Linked DNA regions of Caenorhabditis elegans. The protein of the gene in region 2 interacts with the protein of the main gene of each other region in a pairwise test. Each region holds a gene or a part of one and is shown on either strand. Other genes may lie near its edges.

The links. The genes of interacting proteins can lie anywhere in the genome.
Region 1: the proteins of T20B5.2 (region 2) and erh-1 interact in a two-hybrid assay, tested with the Caenorhabditis elegans proteins (one large-scale study listed by BioGRID).

Annotation. Positions count from the first base shown.
Region 1 is NC_003283.11:10,577,927-10,582,153, forward strand, and holds erh-1 (Enhancer of rudimentary homolog), read right to left. Parts: upstream 1,216-4,227; 5' UTR 1,101-1,215; coding exon 1,010-1,100; intron 939-1,009; coding exon 808-938; intron 763-807; coding exon 673-762; 3' UTR 501-672; downstream 1-500. Other genes in the region: mics-1 (PDZ domain-containing protein), read right to left, coding at 1-58, 104-283, 332-395; lpd-9 (LiPid Depleted), read left to right, coding at 1,396-1,466, 1,881-2,013, 2,435-2,626; T21C9.6 (Phosphoenolpyruvate synthase), read left to right, coding at 3,966-4,066. UniProt on the Caenorhabditis elegans protein: May have a role in the cell cycle.
Region 2 is NC_003284.9:9,328,126-9,338,769, reverse strand, and holds T20B5.2 (uncharacterized protein), read right to left. Parts: upstream 7,638-10,644; 5' UTR 7,531-7,637; coding exon 7,495-7,530; intron 6,870-7,494; coding exon 6,798-6,869; intron 6,573-6,797; coding exon 6,480-6,572; intron 4,787-6,479; coding exon 4,700-4,786; intron 4,542-4,699; coding exon 4,454-4,541; intron 3,666-4,453; coding exon 3,532-3,665; intron 2,639-3,531; coding exon 2,526-2,638; intron 2,471-2,525; coding exon 2,377-2,470; 3' UTR 2,138-2,376; downstream 1-2,137. Other genes in the region: apa-2 (AP-2 complex subunit alpha), read right to left, coding at 1-92.

The DNA.
Region 1 (4,227 bases), on a different chromosome or scaffold from region 2:
CCGATATCTCCAACAAAGTGAGGATTGTCTGTTCCACCAACTATATTGAATCCGAAACCTGTAAAATGAGTACTATATAGACGTTTAAAAATACAATTTATACCTTTAGATGTTTTTTCTATTTCAACTACTGTCAATGCCTCCAATGGAACAGATTCTTGTCCATTTCCATCTGTAGTCGTATCATTGAATGTCATGTCGTCCGTTGCTTCTGCAGCAAATGAAATATCGAATGTATGATCTTCATCAGCGTGAAATGGGGAGGAAACGAGAGCGGCATGATCTGAATATTCTTACCAACTCTCGAGTCCTTCCATAGTTTAATACTTACGTTCATAAACTGGATCTGAATCGGTATTGAACACTGTATCCTCTTGCGGAGGAGACACCATCATTCTGAACAATTTGAAGATTTTTGTAAATTTCGAAAATCACTAATTCCAAATGAAATAAATAATACACAGAAAACAACTGCTGTAATTATAAACGTAGAGAAATAACACCATTTAAAAATATTTATTCATGTGGTTGCGGATGAATTGTATAACTGGATATGAAATTTCGTTTTCACATTTTTTGGAAAAGAGTTTAAAACTTAGGACTGAATCCGTAAAAAGTGAGAAAAGAGAACGTTGGAAAGAGATAGAAGTGAGAAACCCATATGGATGGTAATCAGTGCTGATTATTGAGCCTGTTGTTCATTAATTTGTAGATGCTCTCCTTTACATATTGCTTATTGTGGGGGACATATGTGTATGTTGTCTGCAATTTTTTTTCCGATATTTAAAATATGTTTTAAAAACCAACATTGTCGAGAACCAGCATTGAAAGATCTTTGAGGTCGTCGATGAACTCGAAAAGGTGCGATATGTCATAGGTGATTTCGTTTTGAGCCGGAACCTTCTTTTTCAAATATTCTTCGTAGACTCTGCAGATTCCTATAAGTTAAAAGTTTTTAATTGATTATAAACTTTTAATTTTAAAATGTAATTTGGTTTTTGTTACTCACCTTCAAGACATTCCGTGGTATTCTCATAATCCGACCATGAACGTGACTCGATGTTGTCTGTCGGTTGGAGCAGAAGAATTGTGTGACTCATTTTCAAAAAATTGAGAATATTTTTGAAAGGGAAAAAACGGAGTAAATCTGCAACGTCAACGCAAAAAAAATATTAGCAAGAAGTGCGCCAGTACGTCGAATAGTGCGTCAGCGACGTCCACTGGCGCGCTTTTGGTGTTCGGGCAATTTTTATTTTTATTTTTTCTTTCTTCTATAATTTAACAATTTCCATACTGTTTGAGGTTTTTTGCATAAATTGTGAAAATCGAACAATTCCTATCAAATTTTCATTTTCTCAACACAAATTCTAAAAATTATTTTCAGGTGATTTCGCCATGTCAGGCTTATCTCACGCCGGCCGCCAGGTTGCACGTATTGCAGTTCGACAAGCATCGTCTCACTCTCAGTAAGTTTTTTTTAGTGTTAAAGGCTAAATAATCTGATGTCAAGAAATCATGTTAAAAAACGATATCAATGGAATTTTCGATATTTCAGAAAATATCTGTGTTCTTACCAGGAATTTTATTTTAAACAATAGCTTTTTCGTATTCGTAATGCAATTAGTTTACTAAGTGATTATTCTTAACAAATATAACAAATGCTCACTTTCTTATTTAATCTGTTCCGAAATACTAAATATTTAATCATCTATCCAAAAATATGCGTTTGCTCCCTTTAAAAGCATTAAAAAATGCATTAAATTGTTGATCTCTTAAAGAACAAAATTGATTTTTCAATGCTTGTAATATCTATCCCTCGAATACAAAACAGTTTCCTAAATTGGTGAATTTTTGAATCATAAATTTTCAAATTATTGCAGTGACTCCCACGCCGTCTGGAAAGAAATCAACAGACTCGGAAGTGAGGGAAAATGGGATAATGTGAACAACATGCCAAAAATGTTTTTGTTTGGTGAAGCCAAGCAGGAGACGACAGCTGCTTATCGTGCAATTGTGAGTTTTTTAAAGAATTAATTATGTTCCCGAAAGTACAGTCGGTTCGAAAATAGTTCGAAAATATGTTTTTGTTTTGAGAATTAATTGCAATGCTTTCAAAATAAGATAACCTTAGTACTTAGTTTACTGAATTTTTAATTTTTTGATCATAAAGCTTCCACAGCTATAGATTTATAGTGTCGGGACTGTCCGGCGAGGCTAAAAACTTGGCTTTTGAAGCCGCCATAATGTTTTTAAAAAAATTTCAAAGTTCTTCACAAAATCATATATTTTGTTATGAAATGGCATAAGTACTACAAAAAAAATCAATTTTCTCATGCATAAGTAATTAAAAAAATTTTAAACAAGAAAACGTTCAATTTTTAAAAAGTGACAGCATAAAATAAAACGCAATGCGATTTGTATTGTTTTATTTCAGAACAAAGACCCCGACTTCTTCCGTCAATCTCCATATGGTCAATATTTGAAAATTGTGTGGCGATTGGCTCTTCTTTTCGGAATCATCAAAGCCGGAACTGTTGTCTACGATTTTGCCGTTCCAGAAGAGCAGCGACTCAAGTACAAGTACCGTAATCACGGACATCACGGTCACGACGATGCCCATGACTAAATTTCTGATTCACCACCGTCCGAACGTCTTCTTTTTGCATAGGAAGAAAGAGCCCATTTTAGTGTATTTGTAATCATTATCATTATCACAAAAAGATTTTTCTTGTAAAAAATGTCTTCCCATAAACATTCACAACATTGCAAAGAACATATCCAATATTCGAATTAGAAGACCACCCAGATGGAAATTAAATACGTCGGCTGGTTTTATTTGCGCCGTCAATTCAGTTATCGAAAAAATCATCATCGTCATAAACTTAGTTATTGATTATTTCCTGATAACTACTTATACGTTCAACCAAATCATTTCGTTATCAGCCACAGTTTATATGTGCCATAAGATTCTTCAGCACTCAACTTTTCCAGTTTCTTATTTTTTGAACTTACCAATGCTAGAAGTATAAACATAGAAATTCACATTCTTTCTAGTTAACTTCTCTGCAATGACTGGTCGTTTTTGGAAAACATGGTTTGTACTCAAACTATTCAATTTTTTTGCCGAATTCTTCTTCGAGCCCTTGCCATAGATTATTCATTGTGTGACATCTCTATTGTATTCTCTATTATTTAGTACTAACTTCTCTGGAATTCGACTTGCATGTCATACTATTAGAGTATATGGCCGTGATGATAGGCTTGTGATGATATACCTTGTGAGGGCTGTGAAAAACAACAAAAAATCGAATTTCTCCAGAAAACCAAAAAAAAAACACTCTATTTTTTTCGATTTTTCATCAATCCAACTAAAACATAACATCTTTGAAAAACAATTTTTCTGTTAATTTGGTCTGAAAAAAAAATCAAAAATCCATTTTTACGAAAAAACCAAAAAAGCAAAAAACCGACAGCTCTGCTATGATATACTCATCTATGATGTGATATAGATGAATGTCTAGCGATGATTTTTTATAGAAACAATATGCCCGATTATTGAGCCTTAAAAATTCACTAAAATTTCTCAATTAATCTTTGTTTGCCGAGTTTGACATATAAGTTGCTAGAAGCTATTGATCTTTTCCATTTTCCAACAACAAATATTTGACCTTCAATACAACAACACTAATTTATTAGCACAATCACTATCAAATCTGCACGTACTTTTGTATTTATTTAATGATTTAATCAAGAGTCTTTTATCAAACTACATAGATATTCTAAGTGTCACATGAAAATCAGTTGGCAAATATATACATTTTAAAACTATTTTATAAACCGTTTCAAGACAAGTACACTTGAAGCTATCTCTGATTACTAAAATACTATCAAGATCTATCTCTTCAGTTATTGATGTTCTTACATGTATTGCTATTGACATAAAATTCTACGTATTTACAGAACAAATGTTGATATTCCTGTTTTTGCTGTTTCTTTCAGCTCCACTATGCAAGTTTGTATTGTATCCAGTGATATACGCGTTCCTTAAATGGAGACATCCGGTCAAGTGAGTACTAATGTGATTATGGACCCAGTATGGGGCAATTGATCACTTTTTTGTTTACGACCCAAACTGGTTATCTATATTGAAATTCGAGTTTTTTGTCAATTGTGATTTGATACTATCAGTTGATTAACAAGTGAGCACACTTTTTTTTTTGAATGAAT
Region 2 (10,644 bases):
CGTTTCAGCTCGGCCTCCTTACTCTTGCAGTTTCGGATGTCGCTGATGAAGACGGCGAGTCCACGCATGCCATCACCTTTGACAGCCGGCATCTTCTGTAACAACATTCAATACCCTCTCTGAAAAAATGAGGTGGTTTGTTCAGACAACTGCATGCAGAACCGTGACAATTACGACAGATAATCGAGAGATGAGAGGCGCAGAAGATGAAGGACTTGTCAAATTATTGATTTTTTATATTATTGCAAAAATTACATACTGAAGATGATCCAATGCTTCCAAAGTTTCGCTGAATTTCAAATATAGTATAGCCTTGCATTTTCGAAATAATATGTTTCAGAGAGAAAAATTTAACAACATTTATGTGAGTGACAATGTACTGACAACAGTGAAATAAAATGCAAATCACGGATTGTTTTGAGTGCAAGTACCGACCGACAAATACTTTGTGACTATTAATAAAGTGTTTTTTGAGAGAAATAATATTCCAAATTATAATGTTGTGCAAAACAACTTTTCACATTAAACAACTATTACCAGAACATATAGGTCAGTATGCTATTACAAAAATTGGAAAACAAAAAAAAGTCAGAGGAAAGGAAGCGATTATTGGGGAAAAAGTAAGAGGCGAAAAGAAAGACGCATTCTTTTTCGGGCAAGGGCACGCTAACCAAAATCCGATACGCCGTCGGCCCTCTCTCAGAGGACACCACAAAAGAAAGAGAGCGAGCGGAATGTGTGCGTACACCGCGACGACACATTGCGGACCCTTGTCGTCCTTACGCGCATTGATTCGCAGCAGGGGAAGACGTTTTGCGCGCAGTTAGTCGCGACGCAAAAGGGGTCCCTTATTCTTCTTTCTCGATGTACTACTCCGCGAAAACCGGGTCCATCTCGTGTTTGCTCCGCTGGCTTGGTGGGGTGCGATTAAAGAAACAGCATAGGCAAAATGGGGGAAGTAGAAGAGAGGAGAAGAGTTGCTGTGAAATCAATCCTTTTCTTTTCTTTTTGCGCACAACACTTTGGGGAATTATTCATCACATATCTTATAATTGGGTTCAGAGTTTTTCGAAATAGTATTTTTGGAAAAATTGCATTTTCGAGAAGGAAATCGATGATTATATTTGTAAAAGTTTGAAAGTCATGAATATAAAACACTCTGTCAATAAAATCGTTTATTTTTAAAATTCAGAAAAAAGTGATTGATTGAATATAAATATGATTCCTGTTTTCAGACCAGACATATTCGTGGAATTTATTTTAAACTACAATATTTTGTGGAACTAAAGTTCGAAACCATCAAAAAAGTAACTGTTTTGATTACCATTATTCTTTTGTCGACTTCTCCTCGAATAGTATTCATTTTAAACAAAAAATTACAGAATCAATAAATCTCAGTATTAGGAATAAAAGCTGCTTCAAGGTTTTACTCAATATTTGACAAAGGAGAGAGCTGGCGAAAGTCTTGTAATTATATGGTTTAGGGACTCATAAATGCTCCCTATCATGTGATAGCCCATTATTCATATCACCAAATATTTCGTTACATATTGGGATATAATGATTAAACTGACCTCAGAACTTGAAAACGTAAAAATTAGTAATACGAGTATAACACAGTGGAACAATACGCACGCGAAAATATTGAGGGAAAACTAGGAAAATTGAAGATTGTTTTTAAATGAAAAAAAAAAAACACAGAGCACAAGAAAGGTAAGAACTCACATTCTGACTTACATTTATTTTCAAACTTTTAGGCGAGCTCAGAAATTTTTTGGTATATACTTCTGTTTTTTGCGTAAGGAAAAGTATCAGTCATCAAAAATACTGAATAATGAAAGAAGTTGAAGGGAAAATAAGAAAGTGAAAATTTCACCTGTTCAAATATTGAAGTAAATATTTTTATGACGTTTTTTTAATCAGAAATGCAATTTTTGCTACCCGGATTTACCTGAAATATTCTTTTTTGACATTTTTTAAGTAATGAAAAAGTTTAAGTTTAACCAAAAACTTTGAAAAACAAAAACTCCAAAAGATATCTTCGCATTTCGGCGCTAATCCGGTAGATATTTCAAACTAAAAGAAACATTGAAGGCTTTATTAAAGATAATGTTCTTACAATGCAACAAAAAACATTCAAAATTGTATTATCTTTATTTTCACAAATTTTGTATCTTCACAAAATTTCAAAGACAAGATTTACTATACAGAAAAAAAGCAACAGATTATTGAATGTTTGGTTGTTATTGTTAAGGGCATCTTTTGGCAGTAGATATTGACAGATATTGATAGACAGCGGGAATAATGATATTGGGGAAAAGGAGAAAAAGAATGATAATGGATGATGACGCGTGATCAATTCACATTTAATTAAATTCAATCTTGGTAGAGCGGGTTTTCCATCAAGTATGCGCATTCGCTTGGCCTGCGGGAAACGTGTGGTGAGCTGGAGAATGAACGGGCCGAAGCGCTGAAAACATACAATTTTTTGTTTTTTGTTTCAAATATAATTGTTCATAGTTCACCTGGAATATCTATCTGGTTGAAATGGAATGGCAACTTCAAAAGACACTGTTTCTGTGTATGGGGATACGGGACGACCATCGTGAATGGAAACAAATCGGGACTTCTTGGTGACCTGAAACATAGAACTTCAAAATAGTTGACCTTTTAAAAAACAAACTCTGAAGCAACTTAATTGTAAATTTGAAATGATATTATTATTTTTTTGTCATACCAAAATCAGATAAATGTCTTCTCTACGCTTCATGTTTTACACTTTCCCTATAACACATGTGCGTAGATTGCTCGCAATTTGTTGTCACCATTTGCAGGATGACACAATAAAGCGGTTTGTTGAAACGGAAGTACGTGGATAATATGAAATTGAAATTAGTTTGGAGCATTTTGTCATTGCAATAGTCACGAGTTCATTTGGTTTAATGGTATTTTGATTCAGTTGGTGCATGATCAAATAGGGTTGATCTTTTGTAGCAAAATTTATTTTTCTTCTACATTTTATTTGAATTCAAATTTATGTTGTTTCGTATAAATATTTGCAACGAAAAATAAATGTTGATAGCTTGAGAAACACGTATACGGTAATTCGGGTAAGAGTATTGCACTTAATTTTTGCTAAGGATAAAAATGGCTTGAGACGGCATTAGTCAAATTTTCGTTCAATATCGATTATTGCGATCAAGCTATAGGACACTCGAAAATTATTTATGCATTCTAAAATTGTTGTACTGTCATTATTACTTTTTCAACCACACATGCAATTCACAAATACGGTAACTTCAATAACACTGTAAGCATCTTCCATATTAACCAGTCGGCAAAATCAATTTCAAACCGTTTGCCGAAGATTAACTATAACTACCAACCCCCAACGGTACTTTTAAATTCATTTTCACTTATTTTAGAAACCTTGTTACCAAATTCAATCAAAGATTTGATTTAACTTCTATTTCAATTATCTTTGTCGTATAAATTTCCTTTGTTTATTAAGTTATATTTCTCATAACAAACCTTTTTCAATGGCACATTTGCCGAATTTACGGACACATTACTCTGTCTAGATCCAGCTCCAGATCTTGAAGATGCCGAGTGTCCAGATCTTGGCGATAGCATGTTGATAGAACCTGATCTTGGTGAAACCTCATCTGAAAATTAATATTTTTTGTGACACTTGTACCAAAATTTTGGAATGATACTTTTTAATTTAAATCTTACCATACACCTAACAGAGAAAATTCATACTTTTCTCTTAGTGTTAACTTTACGAAAGTGTGGAACAAAAAACTTAATGTTTTTGTGAATTTAGATGTGTACTTTGAGTTCTCACCTTAGGAATGCTTTAAACAATTTTTGGTAAAAAAGTTTCTTTTTTGCTAGAATTAATTTAAACCATAGATTTAAAATAAATCATTCTATGTACTCATTCATTCCGTACCATTATCAGTTTTTTAAGCCACAAATCAATTCAGTCCTTTTTTAGATGTCTTTTAAACCTCTCGAGATGTTACTTTGTCATTATTAAGAGTGTGTTCAAAAAAATGCAATTTTACTGCAAGTTGTGAATTCTAAGAAACACTCATTTATTGTCATTCTCGACACCAATTCAGTGACTTAGTTCTCTAACAGTTCAGTGAACACGCTTTTCTGAAAATGAAAAAGATCTAGCGAGAAAAGTAACCTTCAGCTGTTTGGCATTCAGTCGACTGGAACTAAAACGATTCACGCGTTCAATTCTCTTTTTAATGCTCTAACAATTACATGACACCATGTCACTTATTAAATGTTTTAGATAGCTAACCCAATTTCATTCTATTTTCAATTTCCATCAGTCATGCAGTCTTCCCTGCCCTTGTCTCACTGCCCTTTCAGCATCAATTTATATATTTTTGCCCATTCCTGTTCCGTTTTGTGAAGCACGTTTAAATTTTCTTACCATACTGCAATTTATGTCTTGGCGATGCGTGTCGTGAAGAATTGGCAGGCTGAATGTCGATGCGTGGGATATGGAGAGGTTGGATAGGCTTCAAACATCGTTGTAATTAATATCAGATTTTCAAAAATTTTGCAACTACGCTTGTGTATTGCTGTGTCACAGAAATTCTTTTTATTGTTTACACACGCGCTTATAACTACTGAATCGCCTTCTAATTAAAGTAGTATACTAATATAGGAAGCTTACTTGGAGCAAGTGCCGGCTCAACTCATTTTCTCCACCAACTGGAGTGACAGGTCGGACTGGTGATGCTGGACGGACTGGCTCAGACGGCTGAAAAAAGTCTGAGTCATTTACAATTTTAGTTTTTGTTCAAAAACGTCTGTTAACGATTATCAAATCGTAATACAAGATTTTGCCCCATTTCGATTTCAACGATTTTTGTTATTTTTTCCACAATGTGGATATGTCAAGCACACATACTTGTCAAATAATGCGTTATTTCAGCTGAATGTTATCATGTTCAGAAGGTTGTTTTGTTTTTTGTCGAACTTATACTTCGGCGTCATTTGCTTAAAAATAACTCTTTTTTTAAACAAAGTGCATTTTTAAAAATAAATTGTCAATTATAAAATAAGAACATGGATGACCAACGTATTTTTTATAATCCTAGAGACTTTTTATTTATATGAGTTTCGCTTATTGTTAGGTGAACTATCTAATTTGTGACGTTTTTAAACAACAGACTTCTGAAAATAGTTTTGTTTAATATTATTACATGTTCTTGTACAAAGTTGAATACATTTTTTTAATCGTTTCATTTACGACTTCCGGATTAGAAAGAAAAAAAAAATATGAGAACGTTGTTTACGTTAAGCTCACACCGTTTGCACATTTGTTGTGGGCTTTTTGTGTGAAACTGAAATTATAAAAACTGGATGCGTTAATTACGCACATCCCATTCTGCTAAAGAAAACCACGTGCCTTCTATATCACTTCTATTATAAAATTAATTCTAGTGAAGTTCAAGTTGTGTTCATTTCTATACCTATAACTAGTCGGGTCTGAATTTGAAACACTTGTGATGTCACTGACAATCAAAAGTATGGCTCAAAAATGTTACTTCTCAGTTTGAAGAAAATACAATCCAATATTTAAGCGAAGTAAAGTACCATATTCCCCCATTTTGGTGATTCCTCTCTCGATTAGTTTTTAAAACAAAAGTTAGTAATTATGTACAAGATTAAATTAAGATTTTTTTCAAAATTTTCTATGCACACAAAATTTTTGGAAAATAAGAGCAATACGGTGTTCAAGACTGATTAGTGAGATTGTGGTGACTGCAAAATAGATAATTTAAAAATGAGGCATCGTTATTTTCAAATTACGCATTTTGACTCTTCATCTATGTTCCTCCAATTTTTCAAAATAAATAACCGGCTTCAATTGCTCATTTTTTATATTCGTTTATTATTCAAATTTGAGATTATACCCAAAAATGGGACACCATTTGCTTATTTCATTTTCATAATCCCATTGTAAACAAAACCAACACGTTTTTTTTTCGTTTTCATTTTCTTGTCTTTTTGTCTTTGCTTATACAAACATTGAAAGGAATGTAAATTGGTTCTGCAGCTCTATTTTTAAAAGTAGAACTAGTTTCAACTAGCTTGAAAAGTACGATAATAGTTAATGCAAATAAATGAGAAAAAGTGGTAAACTGATAACAGATCTATATTGAGAAGACAACTACATCGGTAAAATATTCTGTTAATAATTTGGGCTTTCACATTTAAAAATATCCTTAGAACAAAGTAGCTATAAAATTCACAACTAAAATTTAAATGCAAATTAAATCAAGTTTGACAAAACGTCCCAACTAACATGCCATTCAACACAATTATGAAAACAAGACCAAGAAATAAACGTTCACCTGCTGAATAACGCTAGTTTTTGCCACAATGCTACTCTTCTTCCCTCCTTTTCTTGTTTTTATTTCACATGTTCCGTCTAAAACCCTACTTACATTTTTCTCGATTTTCACGACAATTTCACCGTTTTCATCTCGACCGTAGGTTCTTCGTTCGGTGTACTGTTTCGACGAGACTTGTCGTTGTGGCTGGAAAATGTTAAAATTTTTGGAAAAATAATAATTTTTCTCCGGCAAAATCCACTTCCAATTGCTGATAAATTGTTTTTTTCAGTCTGATTCGTCATAATGAGATCACAAAGCAGATTTCTGTCTGGGAGTCGATTATGAAAAAGAATGAATTGAGTATTTTGGTGCACAAATGCAATTAATCCCTTGATTCATGTTTTTGAACACAAAATACAAAACACTAACCTCACTGTGTGGAGTTCCATGAATACGTCTTTCGAAAGTTTCAATCGTATGAGCTTCTTCACTTCCAATTTTCTAAAAGTTAGATTTTTTACTATCGTTGCAAAGTGTATAATTTTATAAAATTCTGATGGAGTCGAAAGTGTTGCTTAAAAATTTCACTCAAAGCTTTTTCAAGGCCCATATGTATGTCTCAAATAGAACTTTCCTCTCTTGATGCTTTTTCGATCTACCCAAAGTGGTTGAATTTATGGAGAAATTCACCATCATGAGTCTTGGAAGTTGTTGCTTTGCTTGACCATTCGCAATACTAAGATTACACTGGATTCTAGTTGAAGCGAATGGCAAAAATATAAAATGTTTATACGCTACTTGTGTATAATACCTCCGCCGTTTTAGAAATTAATTAATTTTCCATTGATTTATCCGTTCAAATTAAATGTGATACCTTTTTCTTCGTTAGGCTTAAAATGGTGTTTTCCTAGGCCTAAAAATACAAAAGAATTCCACACGTTTTTATTTTAAAAGTTAAAAAAAAATTAATTTCTAAAGTGGCGGGGGCATAATACACAAGTACCGTTTATACTTAACATTGTTTTTAAGAAAATAAATATTTCAGCATGTTGTGTTGATTTTTTAAATTTTTAATTCTGGATTCAAAATACATGCTTTCAAACTTTTTTTTGGTTTTTGTCGTTACCTCAAAACGTCCTCCTTCATATGGTCTCACATCCATGGTGATAGAAACTGTGTTTTAGGTTTTCGAAATTGACGAAAAGAAAAATGTGAAAAAGTTGAAAGTTCGGTGAAAAGAATGTGCAAACTACTGATGATTCAGTTTCTGCTTTCCAACCAAAAGTCCTCAACTGTTTTCCCTCCCCTTTTTGACTACTCTAACAGTCCCAATGCCTCCAGATTCCACAAACTCTTTCCAAACTCTTTGCTCTACTTTCACAGGGAAGGGGTGTCGCACAATGTGCAAACATCGAAAACTGAAATACAGTCGTGCTCTTTTTCTCTCGCATCATGCCGCAGCCGCAAGAGCTCAATGCTCTGGCGAGCCGCCACGCACTAACAAAAAACTCTTGTTGAACTCATTTCAAGTGGATTCCACTTCTCCAATTTGATGATCACAGGGAGGGGAGATAGGAGTGTAGATGAGTGAAGAGATAAATGTTTGAAAAACTAGATAGTATAACTGGTTGCGATATCTTCGGCTTGAGGTGATAACTGCTTTGTAAATAGGTAAATACTACAAAGTGAAATTATCAAGAGGTCAAAAAACTAGAAGAAGGTGTTTTGAGGAAACAGTAAAATAAATGTTGATTTCTTGGGTGCAAAATTAAAACAAAACTAATCCAAAGAAACATCACACCACACCAATTTTGGTTGAAACCCCTCACAATATTTTTAAAATCGCAATAGTCGAGATTTCTGAGTGTAGATCGTTTTTCTAGCAAGTGATTCCTCGAAACTAAAAATTTATATGACCCTTTCACACGCTATGCTTTTACTGGTAATGCGTTCCAACCAAGTAAACTAAAATGAATAAGGTATTTGGAAAAGAGGGAATTTGTTTTTTTTTAAAGAATTACAGGAAAAACTATTTTTCCAGTAAATGTACATTACGAGCCGAGATAAACGTAATTGTGAACAGGTGGGATTCATCTAATTATTGAATAATATTTAAACTGCGCTTAATATTAGTTGTAATTCAAATACTGTCACATTTACAACCACATTTCATAACAAATATTATTTATGTTGAACCAGACAAAGAAATACAATATAAAAAGGCTATTCGTTTTGTTTTTTGTTTTTCCCATCTTCATAGTTCATATGAAGAAGTGTTTGTTGCGTTGAAGTGACGGCTTGTTCCCATTTTTATTAATATTGAAAAATTCGAAGTATTTTTCTGAAAAGTTGTAGTATCTAGGTAAAAACTGATAGCAAATTCTTCTCTTTCAATATTCTGACATAGTGTTCAATCATAGGCTTTTTGCAAGTAAAAAACAACACGTTGTTTTTGTTTCTTTGTGATTAGTGCGCTTTTTTTAAATTTCTACAAACATAATTTGTGTGAAAATTATAATAATTTTTTAAAAGAAACTTAGTTTGCATATCTTGGTACTCAAAAAAAAAGTTTAAATGGAGATATCTTTGTATTGGTTCACAAGAATATCAATCTAATACTTGTTCACCTTTAAACTTAGAAACTCAGACAATATGGTTTTACATATTAAGACAACACCTATATTATTCAGTTTTTGACACACTAGAAAAGCTTGAGTCACGCTATAATCCGAAGACTTTTTATTTTGAAAATCGGAAAAAACACTGGTTGTTTTGAAGTTTTTAAGTTGAAAATTATATTTATGGTTTTTTGGTTTTTGGATTACATTCGAATAATGAATTTTTCTTCTCTTGCTAGATCTGATCTTCATTCTCCAAAACCGAGCAGTTTTTCAATTTGAAATACCCACGCAGTCCGTTGTCTGAAAAAATTTCAATGCAAATTAAATTTGATCAACCTAGAAGTAATACAATTAACTTGTGCCGTTATACACTTTAACTGCCCATTGTCAATTCTGAACTTTTCGATGTGCCCTCCCCGATGGCTCATCGTATGTCGGGAGGAAGAAGATGTTGGAAAGAAAGGGCACAAGTTAAACGCGTCCTCATTCCATGCTCACATCACTTTTTGTACCACATATTTGTTTCATTTCCTTTTTTCGCCCCACATATTTTGTCGCCGTTGCTTCCTTTCGTGTCGACACAGCCTTTCGCTTCTTCTTTGGATTCTAATCGGCCAAAGATTTTAACATAAAATAAATGTCAGTTGAAATGTTTTTGCATACCGTGGTATTCCAAGTTTTCGAGCGGATGTGTAGCAAGCTCCTCTATCACAAACATATCCGATGTACATATGAATTTGTTGCTTTTCTGAGTTTATATTTACATATACACCTTGAAATCAAGTTTGATGTTACGAATTTATTATATTTTCGCATCAGCTCATTATTGAATCTTTTAAACAACTGTGAAAAAGCATATGAACAACAATTGTTCATTTTTTCCAATCGACATGATGCTTGATGTAAACTTGTGAAAACGTTAAGAATTTCTAAAAGAATAAATTACCTGACCACATGGTAAAAGGAAAATATAATAATTGGAATTTTTCAAAACCATAAAAACCATGAGACCAGCTTTCGCTTGGTATTTCCAGCCTCGGAACCACGTATTTTTTGTTACAGTCACAATTATCTCAAGTTGGGAATGGTGTTTATTTCACTTTTCACATCTGACTAACCTTTCCTGACAAAAATACAAGTACAACAAGTTTAGGTGTGCTAACATTTTTTTCAATTTTTCATGATTTTTGTGCTCATTCTATTTACAAAATTAGACAAAAGTTGTGCGAAAAAATCGCTTCAAATGGCAAGTAAAAACTTCAACCATTTCTTTTGAGCAGTAATTTCGAATGATTGATTATTTTTTAATTCAAGTGAAAGTTTTTACGTTTTCAAAACAACTGCACTGACCTTTTCACACTAACTAAATATATGATATGCTCAGACATCACAATTTATGTTTAATTATTATTAAGCAGTTTCATTTTCTCTTCTTACAGAAAAATACATTATTGAAAATCAACAATTCCAAAGATTGACACCTCTGGCCTCTCACTAGAATATTAGATCTTGTCTTTCTTGGACCCATTGTTCCTCCTTTTTCTTTACAAGTTTTCCTCTTACGACTTTTTCCAGGACGAATGCCTGCAGAAGATAAAAATGTTTTTCTTTCCGTCACCTCTAACATCTAACTTGATCCTCTTTCTATTACAACT